Medicago truncatula: one gene and its partner. The protein of the gene in region 1 binds, or shares a complex with, the protein of each later gene. Links are inferred from orthologs where the notes say so. Each region holds a gene or a part of one and is shown in the gene's direction. Other genes may lie near its edges.

The links.
Region 2: protein TIC 55, chloroplastic (region 1) and protein TIC 22, chloroplastic share a complex: the UniProt entries of both Arabidopsis thaliana proteins name them as parts of the tic complex. The link is inferred for Medicago truncatula from reciprocal best matches to the Arabidopsis thaliana genes TIC55-II and Tic22-IV.

The regions. Positions count from the first base shown.
Region 1 is NC_053044.1:52,260,719-52,268,623, forward strand, and holds protein TIC 55, chloroplastic, read left to right. Parts: upstream 1-4,885; 5' UTR 4,886-5,059; coding exon 5,060-5,496; intron 5,497-6,251; coding exon 6,252-6,354; intron 6,355-6,462; coding exon 6,463-7,581; 3' UTR 7,582-7,733; downstream 7,734-7,905. Other genes in the region: lariat debranching enzyme, read right to left, coding at 367-647. UniProt on the Arabidopsis thaliana protein: Involved in protein precursor import into chloroplasts. Part of the redox regulon consisting of TIC32, TIC 55 and TIC62.
Region 2 is NC_053044.1:50,225,652-50,233,244, forward strand, and holds the start of protein TIC 22, chloroplastic, read left to right. Parts: upstream 1-4,568; 5' UTR 4,569-4,684; coding exon 4,685-4,999; intron 5,000-5,081; coding exon 5,082-5,144; intron 5,145-5,936; coding exon 5,937-6,011; intron 6,012-6,272; coding exon 6,273-6,320; intron 6,321-6,678; coding exon 6,679-6,738; intron 6,739-7,423; coding exon 7,424-7,495; intron 7,496-7,593. UniProt on the Arabidopsis thaliana protein: Involved in protein precursor import into chloroplasts. Imported into the intermembrane space via the Toc translocon. May be involved in the import pathway used by proteins without a cleavable N-terminal pre-sequence.

The DNA.
Region 1 (7,905 bases):
TAAATAAAAAATAAATAAATAAAGACAGGCGGGCACCTAACGCTAATAGAAATACATTGATTACATAAGCTCTCACACGCAAGCTATGCAAGTAGATTAACTGAAATAAGTCAATTTAGTCCGTCCCTAAGTCAAACTATTTTCATAGAAGCTATAAGTTGTTTTCATAAGTTATTCTAGAGAGCCAGTGAAAATAAGCTGAAAACAGATGTCATAAGCCATTTTCATAAGCTCTGTGAAAGAGTCTCACAAGTGTTTATGCTAGTAAATAAGCTTAAATAACTCAATCTAAAATAGGTCCATAATCATATAGTAACAGTTACAAAATGTGAAATATAGAAAAGAAATCAAATTCAACTCACTCACAGTTCCCATAGATAATTAGAAGCTTCATGATTGCCACCGATGAAGATAGTAGGATAAGGAGCAACCTCCAAGCCAGAATAGTATTTCCAGAAGGAATTCATAGAGAGGAATTTGTCTGGTACGTTGAGGCTTTTCAAATCATTCTTGTTCCTCACGGCCTGAAAATCGCCGCAACAGAGAAGAAGATCGATTTTGGTGTTATTAGTTTTCTCGAGGTGTTGAAGGGTTTTGTAGACATTGTCTAAATCGCCATGCATGCATCCTTCTATTGCTATCTTCATCTTTTCTCAGTTCGATCGAAAAGCCTCACGCTAGGGTTTGGATGGGTTTTATCGGAGCAATAGTCTCGACTCTCGAAGATTCCTCTGCGTTCTCGTTTCGTTTCTGAACGGTTTTTTTTAGGTGAATTGTCGTTTTAGTCCTCTGCTATAATAAAATTTGAGCAAATAATCACTTTATAGTCCCTGATTCTGCAGCTCGCTGTTAGATAGGTCTCTGACTCAGGATTAAATACAAATAAGTTCCTAACTCTGCACTTCCGTTGTCACTTTAGTCCCGGATGTTAAAAAAATATGTTAAGTGATTATGATGATGTGGCGCATATGAGGTGTCACAGAGACCAAAGTGAAAGTAGAAAATGGTCACTTTGGTCCCTGAACCAAAAATCAATATTCCCAAATTGAATATCAAATCCCTAAATCTTAAATCCTTAAATATTATCTAATTATCTTTTTTTGCTCAAAATCAATCTTCCAAACACCAACCTACTGTTATGTTCCTGACTGTGCATACTTACTATCAGTTAGGTCCCTGACTATTAAGGATCTTTTTGGCTTGAAAGCTGATCTTGAGGCAATGATATGTTGGGCTAAGGTTTGGAGTTTTATATAGTAGTGTCATAGTGTTGTGGTTCTGTTACCTCTTTCTCCCTTTAGTATATTAATGGCATCAGGATTACATATATAGATAAATGAATTATGAAAAGTGTGTTTAATTATAATCTCTGTAAGTATTTTAAAGTTATAGCTTGATTTTTTATGTGTCTTTCAACAACAATATCAAATTTTTGGTGGAGAGATGTGAATAACTAATGCATAAATTCACTTGCTAAAATACACAGGCTTAAAGTTAATGACATTCAGATTTGTACAAGAAGGTGTTGATTCAATAGTATTAAATATCATATTCATGCTATTAAGTTACATTAAAGAACTTATGTTTTAGTTGCTTTAACTTCTCATGAAAGAAAAATTAAAGTGAGAAATTTGATAATAAACTTGGAAACATGAAAAGTACCTAGTAAGTAGAACAAATTTTGAGTTAGAAATTATGTTAAAAGAAATTCAATAGAAATGAATTATCATTTAAATATATCTTGAGCTCTTGATTATTGTATGCTCAGACCTACGGGTAGATATATGAATTATCATGTGAATATAACAATAATCAAGAGTAATAGATGCTAATGGATTTGCTAATTCATTGTCAGGGACCTAACTGATAGTAAGTATGCACAGTTAGGGACCTAACAATAAATTGTGTTTAATGGAAGATTAATTTGAACAAAATAGAGAATTAGATGACATTTAGGGATTTGAGATTTAAGTATTTAGGAATTTGATATTCAATTTAGGAATATTGATTTTTGGTTCATGGATCAAAGTGACCATTTTCTACTTTCACTTTAGTCCTTCTGACACCTCATATGCGCCACATCATCACTTAACAGATTTTTTTACGTCATGGACTAAAGTGATAACGGAAGTGCAGAGTCAGTGACCAAAATGACTATTTGCTCAATAAAATTTGTTTATCATTTAAATCTAAATTTTTGGAATTTGCAAACAGGTTTAGAACAACATAAAAATCTTGCTTATTTTAATTTTAATTTTTTTAAATATGAGATGAGATAAATTAAATATGATGTTCTAAACATGTTTATAAAAAAATTGTTCAAAAAATTTAGAGTTTAAGGTTTGTTAAACAAATTTTGTTTTATTAGGGACTAAATCTATGTACAAAAGTTTTTATAAGACTAAAAAAAACTATTAAAATTAGAAAAATATTAAAGAGTTTGTGAGGTTCTTAACCAATGTCCTTTGGACGCCGATTTACAAGACCCTTAAAATTAAATAAGGATTCAACTTAAAAAATTATCATTTTATAAGGACCAAACATATATTTAACTTTAAATTTAGTATGGATCTCATAATAAGAGGAATGACAATTTGACGTATGGTGGATTGATTAGTTTTAGAGATTCCCACGATGGTTTGGTACTTAAAGGTTTCGTTGCAAGCTTCAACATAACAATTCTCATTGTGTTGAGATGTGGGGTTTAATTCATGGGATGTGCATAGCTCACAATCTCCATCTTGCACATGTTATTTTTGAAATGGATTCTACATTTGTTGCGACCGCGGTTATTAATTGAACCACTTTTATTACCTACACTTGTTGCGACTGTGGTTCTCAAATTGGTTTGCTCTATAATTAGTGCATAGAATAGAACACTTGTTAGCAATACCCTAAAAAATAAAGAAAGTATTGCAAAAAACTTTTTCTTTGATTTATAGGTTTACTCCATAAAAATAATTAGAGTTTAACGGGAGTTGCACTCTTGGTGTAAAATAGTTTACTGTTACCTAAAGTTAGTCCACTGTATTTAGAGTATTTAGAGACTTAAAACAAATTTTATAGCAAAACTTAAAAAAAAATAAAAAAAAAATACACACATATTAATATGGAGGAATACATAAAAGAAAATTATTATGAATAACAACAAAGTAGAAATAACGTCAAAACACCATAGAGTAAACATCATAAGTAGATTGTCTGTTGCAGTGTTGTTGAATCTTTTCCTCCTTATTTATAACAAAATCATTTGAATGCAGTTATGCAAAATGTAATGAAAAAACATAAATGGCATCCTCAACAAGGATTCTCTAACATTAAAGCGAGAATGTTATTTGATTTTATTTTGGTCTCTCTCTCATCTCATCACTTATTCGACTTTTTTTGTTGGATGGATGGTTCGTCTAACACATCCATCAATATGAGGGTCGATTAAGAGAGAGAGGAGGTTCATGATTTAATCCAAGAGATGGCGTTGTTTGGGGTTAAGTCTACACCGACCCTAAATTAACTTTGAGGAGCAAATAACCACTCAAAATATTAGGGCCAAGTTGATGAGATAATGGGGGAGAAACTCTGATCCTCCCCTAGTAGTCTCATACCAAAACCTAACTCACCATTTACCCATGAAATATACAAAACATTGGTGGCCTAGTACCTGACACTTTCCTACTAGGTTTGACCTAAAGTTCACTAACAAGAACTTTTAAAAGAAAAATCACAATTGTTATTTTTTTATAAATGAGGTATTTTTTGTGCTAGCACTAATTAATTTAAGAGAAATGTTAACGAGTGTCTCCGAGGTACTCTTTAAAAACTTTTAATAGTAAGTTTTTATGAAAAATTGTGTAATCAATGCATTGAAATTTGTAACATTAGACTTTTTTAATGAATATTTTCTAAATTTAGGATCCTTAAAGAATGTCTTGGATGCACTAGTTAACAAGACCCTTTATTTAAATACAATCATACAAGAATATCAAAATACATTAACGTCATTCAATTTTTTTTTTAACTAACTCACATTTTTTTTTACTATAGATGACTATGTTCAAGCGGTCGTTAGATATTAAATATAAATGTTTATTCTAATGAATATTTCAAACACAATTAATGTTTGAATTGTGATTCCGAGTTTTGTGAAGATTATACCTCTGCTGCCAAGATTTTTTTGCGTGTTAATCCTTCGATTTATAAAAAAAAAGTTCATAGTAATTTGGACTTCAGTCAAAAGATAAGTATCATCTAACTAAAAAAATTCTCTCAAAATCAAATTTAGATTCTTCCTAAAAATTGACAAGGTACTTGACACACCACATTGTAGATAACACCAAAAATCACATGAGAATATGTGCACTCCTGTTGTGGAATCAATTTAGAGTCACATGACGTGAAGGAACATACTACATCCTTTATTTTGTATGAAAAAGAAAAACACATAACATATGGGTTTAAATAACAAACAATTATTCAGTAGGAGTATAGTCACAGTGTAGGACAAATTTATTTTGAAGATCCTAACCACACATCACATGTTACTTCCAATGGAATGCATCTATTTAGCCACGTTTGAAAATGAGCTTAAAAAATTCTACTGAGAGTTCAATTTGCTTCCTACATTTTACATCAAGAGTAGCGTTATGAGCACTCCTTTTTAAATCCACTCTCTTATTTAAAACTCAGACGAGTTCCACACTTTTTAAATCGATTCTTCCTAGCATTTCAATTCTTTACGTTAAACCTTTTATTAGTAACAGTGGACCACATTAGTGTTTTGTTTTTTTGACAAAAGTGGACCACGTTGGTTTTGTTATGGTTGTGTTTAGTCTCATATAGACACTATGAAACGACAATAGTTAACGAGAATTCATCCATGTTGCGTGTAATGGATTATGTGTCCAAATTTTCATTTTAAGGTAAAAGAATCAGCAATATTTTGTGTGGTTATGAATGTCACACGAGTCTTGCAACCACACACAACACTCACCTGAAAGTATCTCTTCTAATTCTTCTTTCTTTACCTCGATCAGTTTCTAGTACTGCTTCTTGATTTCACTCTATGGCGTTGGTAAATCCATTTCTTCTCCCTACCAAAACTCATTTTGCTTTGCCAGTTTCACCTCCACCATCCAAACAAATACTCCTTTGGACTAGCCCATCTTCCAGTTTCAGTTTCAATCTCAACAAAGGCTTGTCATCAAGCAGAAGAAAGCATGCAGGGTATCTCCCCGCCACGGCAGATGTCAAAACTGCATCAACTTTACTTGATGTGGAAGAAGATCAGAAAGTTCTAGTGGGACCTTCCAGTGAGCAAGAACGCAGGGGTGAGAGAGAACTTGCAGCTTATGATTGGAAAGAGGAATGGTACCCTTTGTACCTCACTAAGAATGTACCAGATGATGCACCGTTGGGTCTCACAGTATTTGACAAGAACCTTGTTTTGTTTAAAGATGGCAATGATCAGTTTCAATGCTATGAAGATCGGTGTCCTCACAGGTTGGTTTTAATTTATCTCGCTTCTAATTATTCTTATGATTGATTTTGCTTTCAACTTCTTTATGTGATCACATCCCATATGTAAGAATTCATAATTGATTTAACCAAAGTTGCATGCTATGTGATTAAATGAAAATAACATGATTATTGATGCAGATACAGCTCTTCTCAGTTAATACAGATTTTGTAGCTGTATACTGTGTATATACTTGGTGCTCCTAATGTTCGGGTTTATTTTTCTCTACCATGATGTGAAATCAAACTCAAGGATCAGAAACTAATCCAATGTGTTTGTCTGATAATGAGATCTATATTACTCTATTTAGGAATAAGATATTGGTATTAATAATGTTAGTGGATTGTTATGTTAGTTATTAATTATCTCTCTGTAATACCATATTTACAATACTGCTACTGCTGAGAAGAGGCTAGGGTATATTTAAACATTTGAGTATCACTGAAATTTATCAAAACAAATTTGATTCATTTAATATTTGTATCTTTCCTAGGACAGTCACTAAGTTCACCTAATGAATAATGATAGTATGTACCAATTTCAATTACTTACGAATTCCCCTGTGCTAGTTGTTTTCATAGGTGATAATGAACATTAATAAATATTCTCACGTTAACCGGCTAATTTTTTCAAAATTAAATCAAACCATCTACATTTGATTGGCAAGTAAGTATAAGAAATTATGATTTTTTATTCCTTTCACAATGCTGGACTGGATCTTATATTTTATATGATTCAGGTTAGCAAAACTATCTGAAGGCCAGTTGATTGATGGAAGGCTTGAATGCCTGTATCATGGATGGCAATTCGAAGGCGAAGGGAAATGTGTGAAGATACCTCAGGTAGGCTACTGACTTTAGAGTTCTACTCACCTATATCATGAATGTCCTTATATGGTTTGAGGCTAACAAGTAACAAGTAATAATAACTGTTTTCTCTGTTTTCAACAGCTTCCAGCTGATGCAAAAATTCCCAGGTCAGCCTGTGTTAAAACATATGAGGTGAGGGATTCTCAAGGTGTTATTTGGGTATGGATGTCACCAAAGGTACCTCCAAATGTCAGCAAAATACCTTGGTTTGAGAACTTTGCAAGGCCAGGGTTTCAAGATGTTTCAACAACTCATGAACTCCCATATGATCATTCTATTCTACTGGAAAACTTGATGGATCCTGCTCATATTCCAATCTCGCACGATAGAACAGATTGGACTGCAAAGAGAGAAGATGCACAACCGCTACTTTTTGAGGTGACAGAACGAACTGATAGAGGGTTTGCAGGTTGGTGGGGACGAGAGAAAGACGGCACTAAGCCTAACTTCTTACGGTTTGAGGCTCCTTGTGTTCTACAAAATAACAGGGAAATTGTAGATAAAAATGGTGAAATAAACTACTTCAGTGGTCTGTTCCTTTGTAGGCCAACTGGACAAGGGAAATCCATGCTGATAGTGAGGTTTGGAGGAACAAAAAGATCTCCAATAGTAAAACTGTTTCCTCAATGGTACTTCCATCAGAATGCAAGCAAGGTTTTTGAACAAGACATGGGATTCTTATCATCACAAAATGAAATTCTTTTGAAAGAGAAGGTTCCGACAAAGGAACTATACCTGAATTTAAAATCATCAGACACATGGGTTGCTGAATACCGTAAGTGGATGGATAAAGTGGGACACGGGATGCCATATCATTTTGGTCACAACACTATTTCCCTGCCCAAAGAGCCGGCTGTGATTGAACATGCGCCTGCTGGACTCATTGCAGGACTATCAGCTTCTTCACCTGCAAAGGGGGGCATTGGAACAATGCATGCTCCAAATTTAGCAAATAGATATTTTAGGCATGTAATACATTGCAAAGGATGTAGAACCGCCGTCAAAGCTTTTCAAACTTGGAAAAATGCCCTTTCGGCTGTGGTCGTTGCATTAGCTGCATTAGCAATTCTGGTTACTGGGAGACAATGGAAAGCCATCCTGTTGGCATCTGCAGCCCTGTGCTCTGTTGGAGTATATGCTTGTTCAACAGCTGTTGCATTGAATACAACAAATTTTATTAGGACACATAGGAGATTGTGAGCAACAAGTTGTAAAAAATCTCCCTTTTCAATATTACCCTTACAGCTTGTATAATGGTTTTTTATGACATCTAGTGTTGTCTCCATCTATGTAATTTAAGCCAAACAAGTAATAGAAGAAGAAAAAGTTTCTCAACAATGTGTTCAGGTGAAGAGTCACCGTCTGCTAGAAAAGCATACTGTCTATTATTTTATGTCCTTTTCAAAAACAAAACAAAATCTGTAGTAGTTTACTATACTTTATCCACAAAGAGGTCGAGAAGAAATTATATAATGATCATGCTTGAAAGAAAAAAGAAAGAAAACAATCAGTCCACAGAATTAC
Region 2 (7,593 bases), about 2.0 Mb from region 1:
TGTCTGCAAAGTGGACAAGGTTTCTGACTTCATTTTCATCAATGAAACCGTTGTGGTTGGCGTCTGCAAACTTGAAGTCTGTATCACAACTCCAAGATGCAAAGAGTCCTCTAGCAAGGCGCACAGCATGTCGCAGTTCCTCTTTGCTCATTCTTCCATCACCGTTTGTGTCAAACGCTGTCTTCAACCATAGTTTGAATTGCTCCACCGTCATCACACGCTTTCCATGATGACCATTGAACCCTTTGTGCTCCATGAACGCCATACCTGAAATTTGAGAAATTTGAAATATTCCCTATCAGTCACTAACTAGTGTTATATGTTTTGTTCGTGATTAGTTTTCAAGCTTGGATGTTGTATTTATATTGCCACATTTGCTTAGTTTCTTGCTTTGTTTAAGCACTAGTGCTGTTCATTAGGTTACAAACACATTCTTTTTACTTCGTTAGAAAAACACGTTAGAATATATTCGATCCTCTGTGGAAAAATTAGAAATGCATGTTGACTAAAATGGACTATACACAAACTTATAAAATTATCTCCTTTTGTGGTAATGTTTTTTTATGGAATCTCCTTTTGCGGTAATAGTGATGTTATTTGAACACAATTTTGACATGAACACTATATAAAGTATATTTTGGTTAAATCGACATAAATTTAGGAGTTAGTTGAAAACGAGGCTATATTGCTAACGCGTAAGCGGCCACATTTGCATGTTCTGAATAAATTTAATATGAGAATTTTCAAAAAATAACATGCCATAATATCTCCCCTACTTTTACTAAAATAGTCGGCCACTCTTTTTGAATCAAGCTTATTTACTGACTTCATCTTTCTCACTTTTTATTTTATTTTATATGCGGTTTACATGAATTACCAAAATATACAAACACACAAAGACACCGTATTTTTATCAATTTTCTATGTCCATTAACATATCTGATTGAAAAATAGGGAAGTGTAAATTTTACTAAATGTTACACTGTTACTGGTGGAAGATTTTTCTTCTTAAAAAAATAGAGATTAAACTGCATGCACGATGTTGTGCGGTGAGCCTTTTTCTTTTTGTATTAGTCTGATATTTAAACATAAAAACCACCGTCTTTATTTATTCTCCTTGGTAGGTCTGCATACACCAATAGCAACTAATAATAAAAATATCCGCGCTTATCCTTCATCTAGTATAGATCAAGAATCTGGAATTTATCAACAGCAAAAAATAGTATGATCTATTTCCAATAGACATGTGTTGGAAAAAGATGAGAAGTGTTATTAAATTTAAAGGTGGGTTGTTACATTTTTTTTTTGGTACATGGTTGTTAGATTATTTAATAAGTATGAGAAAGTATAACTAAATCATTTCATTGTAATAAACCATTTAATATAATGAATATTAATAAAGAGATACAAACTAGTAGTTATAGATATAGCCATTAATTGGATTTGGCCATTAATAAAGATATAGCCATCATGTAATAAACCATTGTGTTACAGGAATATATTCAACAAAATCAGCTTATCACACTCTTTTGAATCGCTTCCATGATGTTGAAAACAACCACAACTTTAATTGGATTTGGAAACTCAAGGTATCTTCCAATATTCAATTTTTTATGTGGCAAATTTGCCTTAGTTCTCTACCAACAAAGTCAATTCTTGTATCTCGTCATATAGCTCCATCAGCGACTTGTCCTATTTGTAATGCATCAGAAGAGGCTATGATCCATTGTCTTTTGACTTGTACAATAGCTAAAGAGGTTTGGAAGAAGTGCTTCAATACTTCTCTTATTCCACCTGCGGATGACAGCTCCTTAGGTTCTTGGGTGGAGAATTGTTTTAAAAATCATGGAATTTTCCCACTTTTAATCATGTGGAAGTGTTGGTGTGCCAGAAATAAGTTCATTTTTGATGGCATAAAGACACCATTCTTTATAATTGTAGCAGAGTGTAATGCTCTTTACATGCACACTGTCAAGGCATTTGGAATTGGGGGCACATGTGCTCGTGGAAGTGAGGTTGCACGTGAGGTTTGTTGGAAGAGACCGGATACTGGATGGATTGCTTTGAATGTTGATGGGAGCGCTCTCACTAACCCAGGTGCAGCGGGCTTTGGAGGCATCATTCGAAATCATGAAGGTCGATTGATGCTTGGGCTTAGTGGATCTGTTGGTTGGTCTAATATCTTGTATGCCGAGTTGATGGGTTTGCTTAAAGGTATGTTGTTGTGTTGGGAAGAAGGGTACCGGAAAGTTCAATGTTTTACTGATTCCTTGAAAACTATTAGACTCATTAATGAGGCAAACACATTATATCATCTTTATGGTAATGAGGTTGCTTTGTTGCGTAAGCTGCTGCAACGTAATTGGCAGGTGCATATATCTCACATCTACCGCGAAGGTAATTCTTGTGCGGACTGGTTTGTGAAGACGGGTGCTAGAAACAATGTCGACCTCACAGTTTGTAGAAACCCCCCTACAGATTTAGGCCCCTTTTTAATTGCTGATGCTAATGGTACTCGGTTTGTGAGACCTTAGTTTTTTTTTTCTTCCTTTTTTCTTTGTAACCAAAAAAGATATAGCCATTAAGTTAAGGCATAAGCAACTTTATTGATTTACCTTAAAATAAACATCAATCTTAAGAGTTTTCCAACAAATAAGAAAAATCAAGCCTACAAGTTGAACCAAATATATGAGATGTCATTTTGATCGAATGTGAAAAACATCCGCATCTCTTTTACATCAATATTTCGATGTGTGGAACAAAATTAGCAACAATAAGTTATTAAAGTAACCAAACAACCACATACAATAAAATAAGATAAAAGGAGGAGGAAGAAGAGGAGAAGAAGACAACAATATTTGTTTATCCAATTCGGTCCAAATCGATATATGTTTGGAGGAGATAATTGTTCTCCAATCCACCATCAAAGAGTTTCTTACAAAGAGATACATGGGCTCCCCGACCTTAGAATTTCTCCCCAATAGACACTAATGTTTAGTCAATTGATTCTCTAAAGGTTCCCTCTTTTGTACTCTCTAAGCTTGTCTTTTTTCACACTCTTAAACCCTAAACAAGAGGTCATATTTATAAGATGTGTTCAACCCTTAAAACTTGCCAAATACAAAAAAAAAAAAAAAAAAAAAAAAAACGTGTACATGTGCTCCACAGATGGAGCATTGTGCCCCGAGCAGTAGCAAGAAGACTATTGCAAAGCACATCCATGTGCCCAACGTATCCTTTTTCTATGTGCCCCATGCATGAGGTAGTAGCACATAGTCTTCGTGAAACACAATTTCAAGGCATATTGAACAATTATCCACATTGCTCTTAAATTGATGGTGATGCCACTTTAACCATCAACCACCTTGTTGTTTGCCCTTGCTTCCAACTACACATGTATTCTCATAAGATTTCATATTTACCTCTTGAACCCTCAGAATTACTTCCAGTCTCTTTATGGCCCTTGGATCCTACTACACTAGGCATTTTAGGTAGTTCCACAAGTTTTATCATAGCCTTTCAACCTTTGGAGTGATTATTTACGTCTTCTTGAAGATTTCCTTGCTCTTAATTGTTTCTATAAAGCTACTTGGTTTCGAGTCTTGCATCTCCTCAGCCACAATTAAAGCATAACACACAAGAATTCCACAGTCATACTACTTTGGTACAACAATATCCCTCATTTTCGTTGTCTTCAAGACACAAGACATTCACACTCTTGGCCTTGTCCCAATCTCGATTTGGTCTGCTTGTGATATGGTGGTCAACAAATGCACCATCACCCTTCAATGCCTATGTACACTATTGTTGAGTCAAGACTACTTGTATCCTCACCTTCAACAACTTGAAATCGTTGTCTTCAACAATTTTCTCAATATCCCACTTTATACTCATGGTGCTAGAGTAACGATTTGTAAAACTAGAGGGATTAATTTACAAATTTTGAAAAACTATACAGATGAATTTTCATGACTAATTTAATCTTTTTTAAAATTTATAGAGGCCAAATTGCAATTTATAAAAAATAATTAGGGAACAATTTGCAAATATTAATTGAAAATTCAAATGTTTAAATCAAATTCATTTCGTTTATATTTTTTTATCTGGTTCATGCACCGGCAAAAAATGAACTACTATAAAATAACCAATGAACTAGTCCAAATACTAAGCGATTTGAGTCTTTTACACATATGATCAAAAGTTCAATTACCACCAACTCGAAATTGCAACTTTCGTCAAAATACTCCCTCAATTTTGCGAAACTTCAAAACCTCCAGTATTTTGTCAAATGTGTCTATCGATTTTGCATGTCATAGAGAGTAATGGCAAAATCAGAGAAGAGTGCAACATACGTCTGACAAAATCAAGGAGGTTTTTGAAGTTTCGCAAAATCGAGAAAGATTTTCCACAAAAGTTACAATTTCGGAGAAGAAATGATTGACAATTCACTCAAAGTTCAATTTCAGAAGAGATAATTGACAATTTCGACAAAGGATTTGACGAATGTTAAATCAAACCTATGAACTCATCTTATACATCAATTGTTTCTCAAGGAAGATTAACCACTCGACTCTAATTCACTATTGGGCCAAAACAAACTAGACGCTTAACCCACAATTTTGACAAAATCCGAGTTTGTAGTTTATCCACGATTAGAACTTAGAAGTTAGTAGAAGAAACAAAAATGGAGTCACAAGGACAGTGGAATCCGCTTCTATCATTTTCGCGGTTCATCCATCAAAACTGTAACCACCTTGCAACTCGTTTCGAAGACACAAGAAAATTCGCTGGAACCCTAATTCAATCTCACACTCGCACCAAACCGGCTTTCGCCGCTACTTTAACTTCCAACCACGTCGCCAAATCTCTCGCCGGAACCTCCGTTTACACCGTCAGTAGTTCCAACAATGAATTCGTACTTATGTCTGATGCTGAAGGTGCTAAGTCCATCGGATTGCTTTGCTTTCGCCAAGAAGACGCTGAAGCTTTCCTTGCTCAGGTAAGTTCCTCTCTCAGTAATTTGTTCATTTTTTATTTTCTTGATTTCATGCTGTTAATGATTTTTTTGTTCGTTGTTTTAGGTTCGATCAAGGAAAAATGAATTTCGAGGCAATGCTAAGGTTGTTCCAATAACTCTTGAACAGGTAGTTATTTTTCCATTTCATAATTATCTCCTGCTAATCCTGGTTTTATCACATTTTGTTGATGTGAAAATGAAACCATCCTGTGTTTCGTACTCGAATGCTTTTAATTCACTAAGGGCTTATTTGAGCTTATTTAGTGGCATAAATTTTGTGAAACCGTTTGGGAGAACTTATGAAAACAACTTATGACATTTTTCATAAGTTTTGTTCAGCTTATTTCATAAGTTGTCCAAGATAGTTTATGAAAACAGTTTATAGCATAAACAAAAACAATTTAACTTAGTAATCCAAATAAAATAAAATAAAACAATTTAACTTTATTTTATCTCTTGCTATAGAAATAGCTTATATAAGCTGATACATAAGCGCTTATCATGATAAGTGTTTGTACTATAAGGTGCAAATAAGTTTTTTTTTTATCCAAAAGGGCCTAATTCATGTATCAATGGCACTCAATGAAATTATGGTTTGGCTTCTATCATATTGAGAGTCAAAGTAATTAATTAATTATGTTGGAAACAATTCATTGTTAAAAACCTTCAAGACTTTTAAGAATCAGTTGTAAATGAAATGATTCTACGTGATTTTCCCCCTTTGAATTCGTATCAATACGGGCTATGTTACTATCAGCATTTAGAACCATGTGCTACTGACATAGCACCTACAACCATGAATGTCACACCTTTCCTTTTAATAAAGGGTAAGGGGGAACCTGCTATCAGATACTTTTTGAAGCATAATAAGTATGGTTTTTATCCTGTATCTGTAACAACTTTTCTGCCTGCGTTATAGGTATACTTGTTGAAGGTTGAAGGTATTGCATTCCGATTTTTACCCGATCCACTTCAAATAAGGAATGCACTAGAGGTTAGTTCCAGTTATAATTGTTGCACACAACATATTACTTAAAAGCCAAACTAGTATTTTCATCATCTGAGTCCTATACCAGTGTCACTATGGAATGAGTTAAGTCTTATCAGTTTTAAATGTAAATCATGGAGGAAAATAAGCTTCAGTAATATGCATGATAGCTGCGGTGTGGGAATTCTGTGACTGAACAGGTAGCATATATGTTCAAGTGCTGAACTGTTGGATTGTGTTTAATTTCATTTTCGTTGTGTTTATCAGCTCAGAGCCGCCAACAAGGAAGGTTTTGATGGAGTTCCTGTTTTTCAGGTATGTTTTCTTACTTTGGCAGTCTCCAGTCCTTCAGAGGACTGATTGGGCAATGGTGAGGGTGTGGGCAGGAGATACAGATTGACATGTGTTTGTCGTTTCGTTAATGTATATATCAGTAGCTATAAGTGTGGAATTCATAATATTTTATTTTCACTGAACTTACTGCCAAGTAATTAACTGCAGCCAATGCATGGTACGGAACATATAAATTCCAAGACTGGCAAACAGCTTAAAAACCATCGAACTATTTTAGTATCTGCCCATCTGGAGTCTAATTTAAATATTTGAAAAATATTGGTAGTAATTGATCATGTTAATTTTTAACCTATTGACTAATAATCACATTTGCTTACAGTCAGAACTTTTGGTTGTGAAGAAGAAGAATAAACGTTATTGCCCTGTATATTTCTCTAAGGTTTGTCTAACCCATTGGTCTCTTTAATTGCAATTCTGGTCCCTCTCTTATGGTCAATATGCAATTTTGTCCCTCTATTTTTAATTTAGAAATTTTGTCCCTCGATATTTTTAATTACACAATTTTGGTTCCTCAGTCAAGTTGTCATCCAATTTTTAACTATGATGATGATGTGGCGGTCAAATACGTGACATTGAATATGTGAAATTGACATGGCTATAGAGTGCTTATATGGTGTTACATGTCTGCTGTACACATATGATGCTTATATGGCTATATAAACAATTTATTTTTATTTTTTTTTAGCAAAGTAGAATGCTTAGGACCCGAATTCACACCTAGGCTTTTAAACTAACATTCTTAACCACTACACCAACTCAACGGGCTACCGTAATATAGCAAGTATGAATGTGTGTGTAATACAAACAACACTTGGTGGCCGTGTTAGCTTCACACGTTCAATGTCATGTCAGCATTTGACTGTTGCATCATCTTCATTGTTAAACATTTAGGGACAACTTGATTAATGGGCTCAAATTGAGAAATGAAAAATAGGATGAACCTTAATTGCAGATTGGCAATAAGAGAGGGACCATAAGTGCAATTAACCCCAAATCATAGTTAGGCATGTAGCTTGATGGAATATAATCATATGATAGTTTTCGTTTGTTGTTTAAATGGACAGGAAGATATTGAACAAGAACTATCTAAGGTTTCCAGGGTATCTAAAGGTCCTGGAGTTTCCAAGCAAATAATGGTATAGAATCTCTCATCTCTTGCTCTTGTTTTTGTTAGTCTGTCAGAAACTTGTTACTCTGTATGAAACTATATGACCTTGAAAACAATTATGGTGAA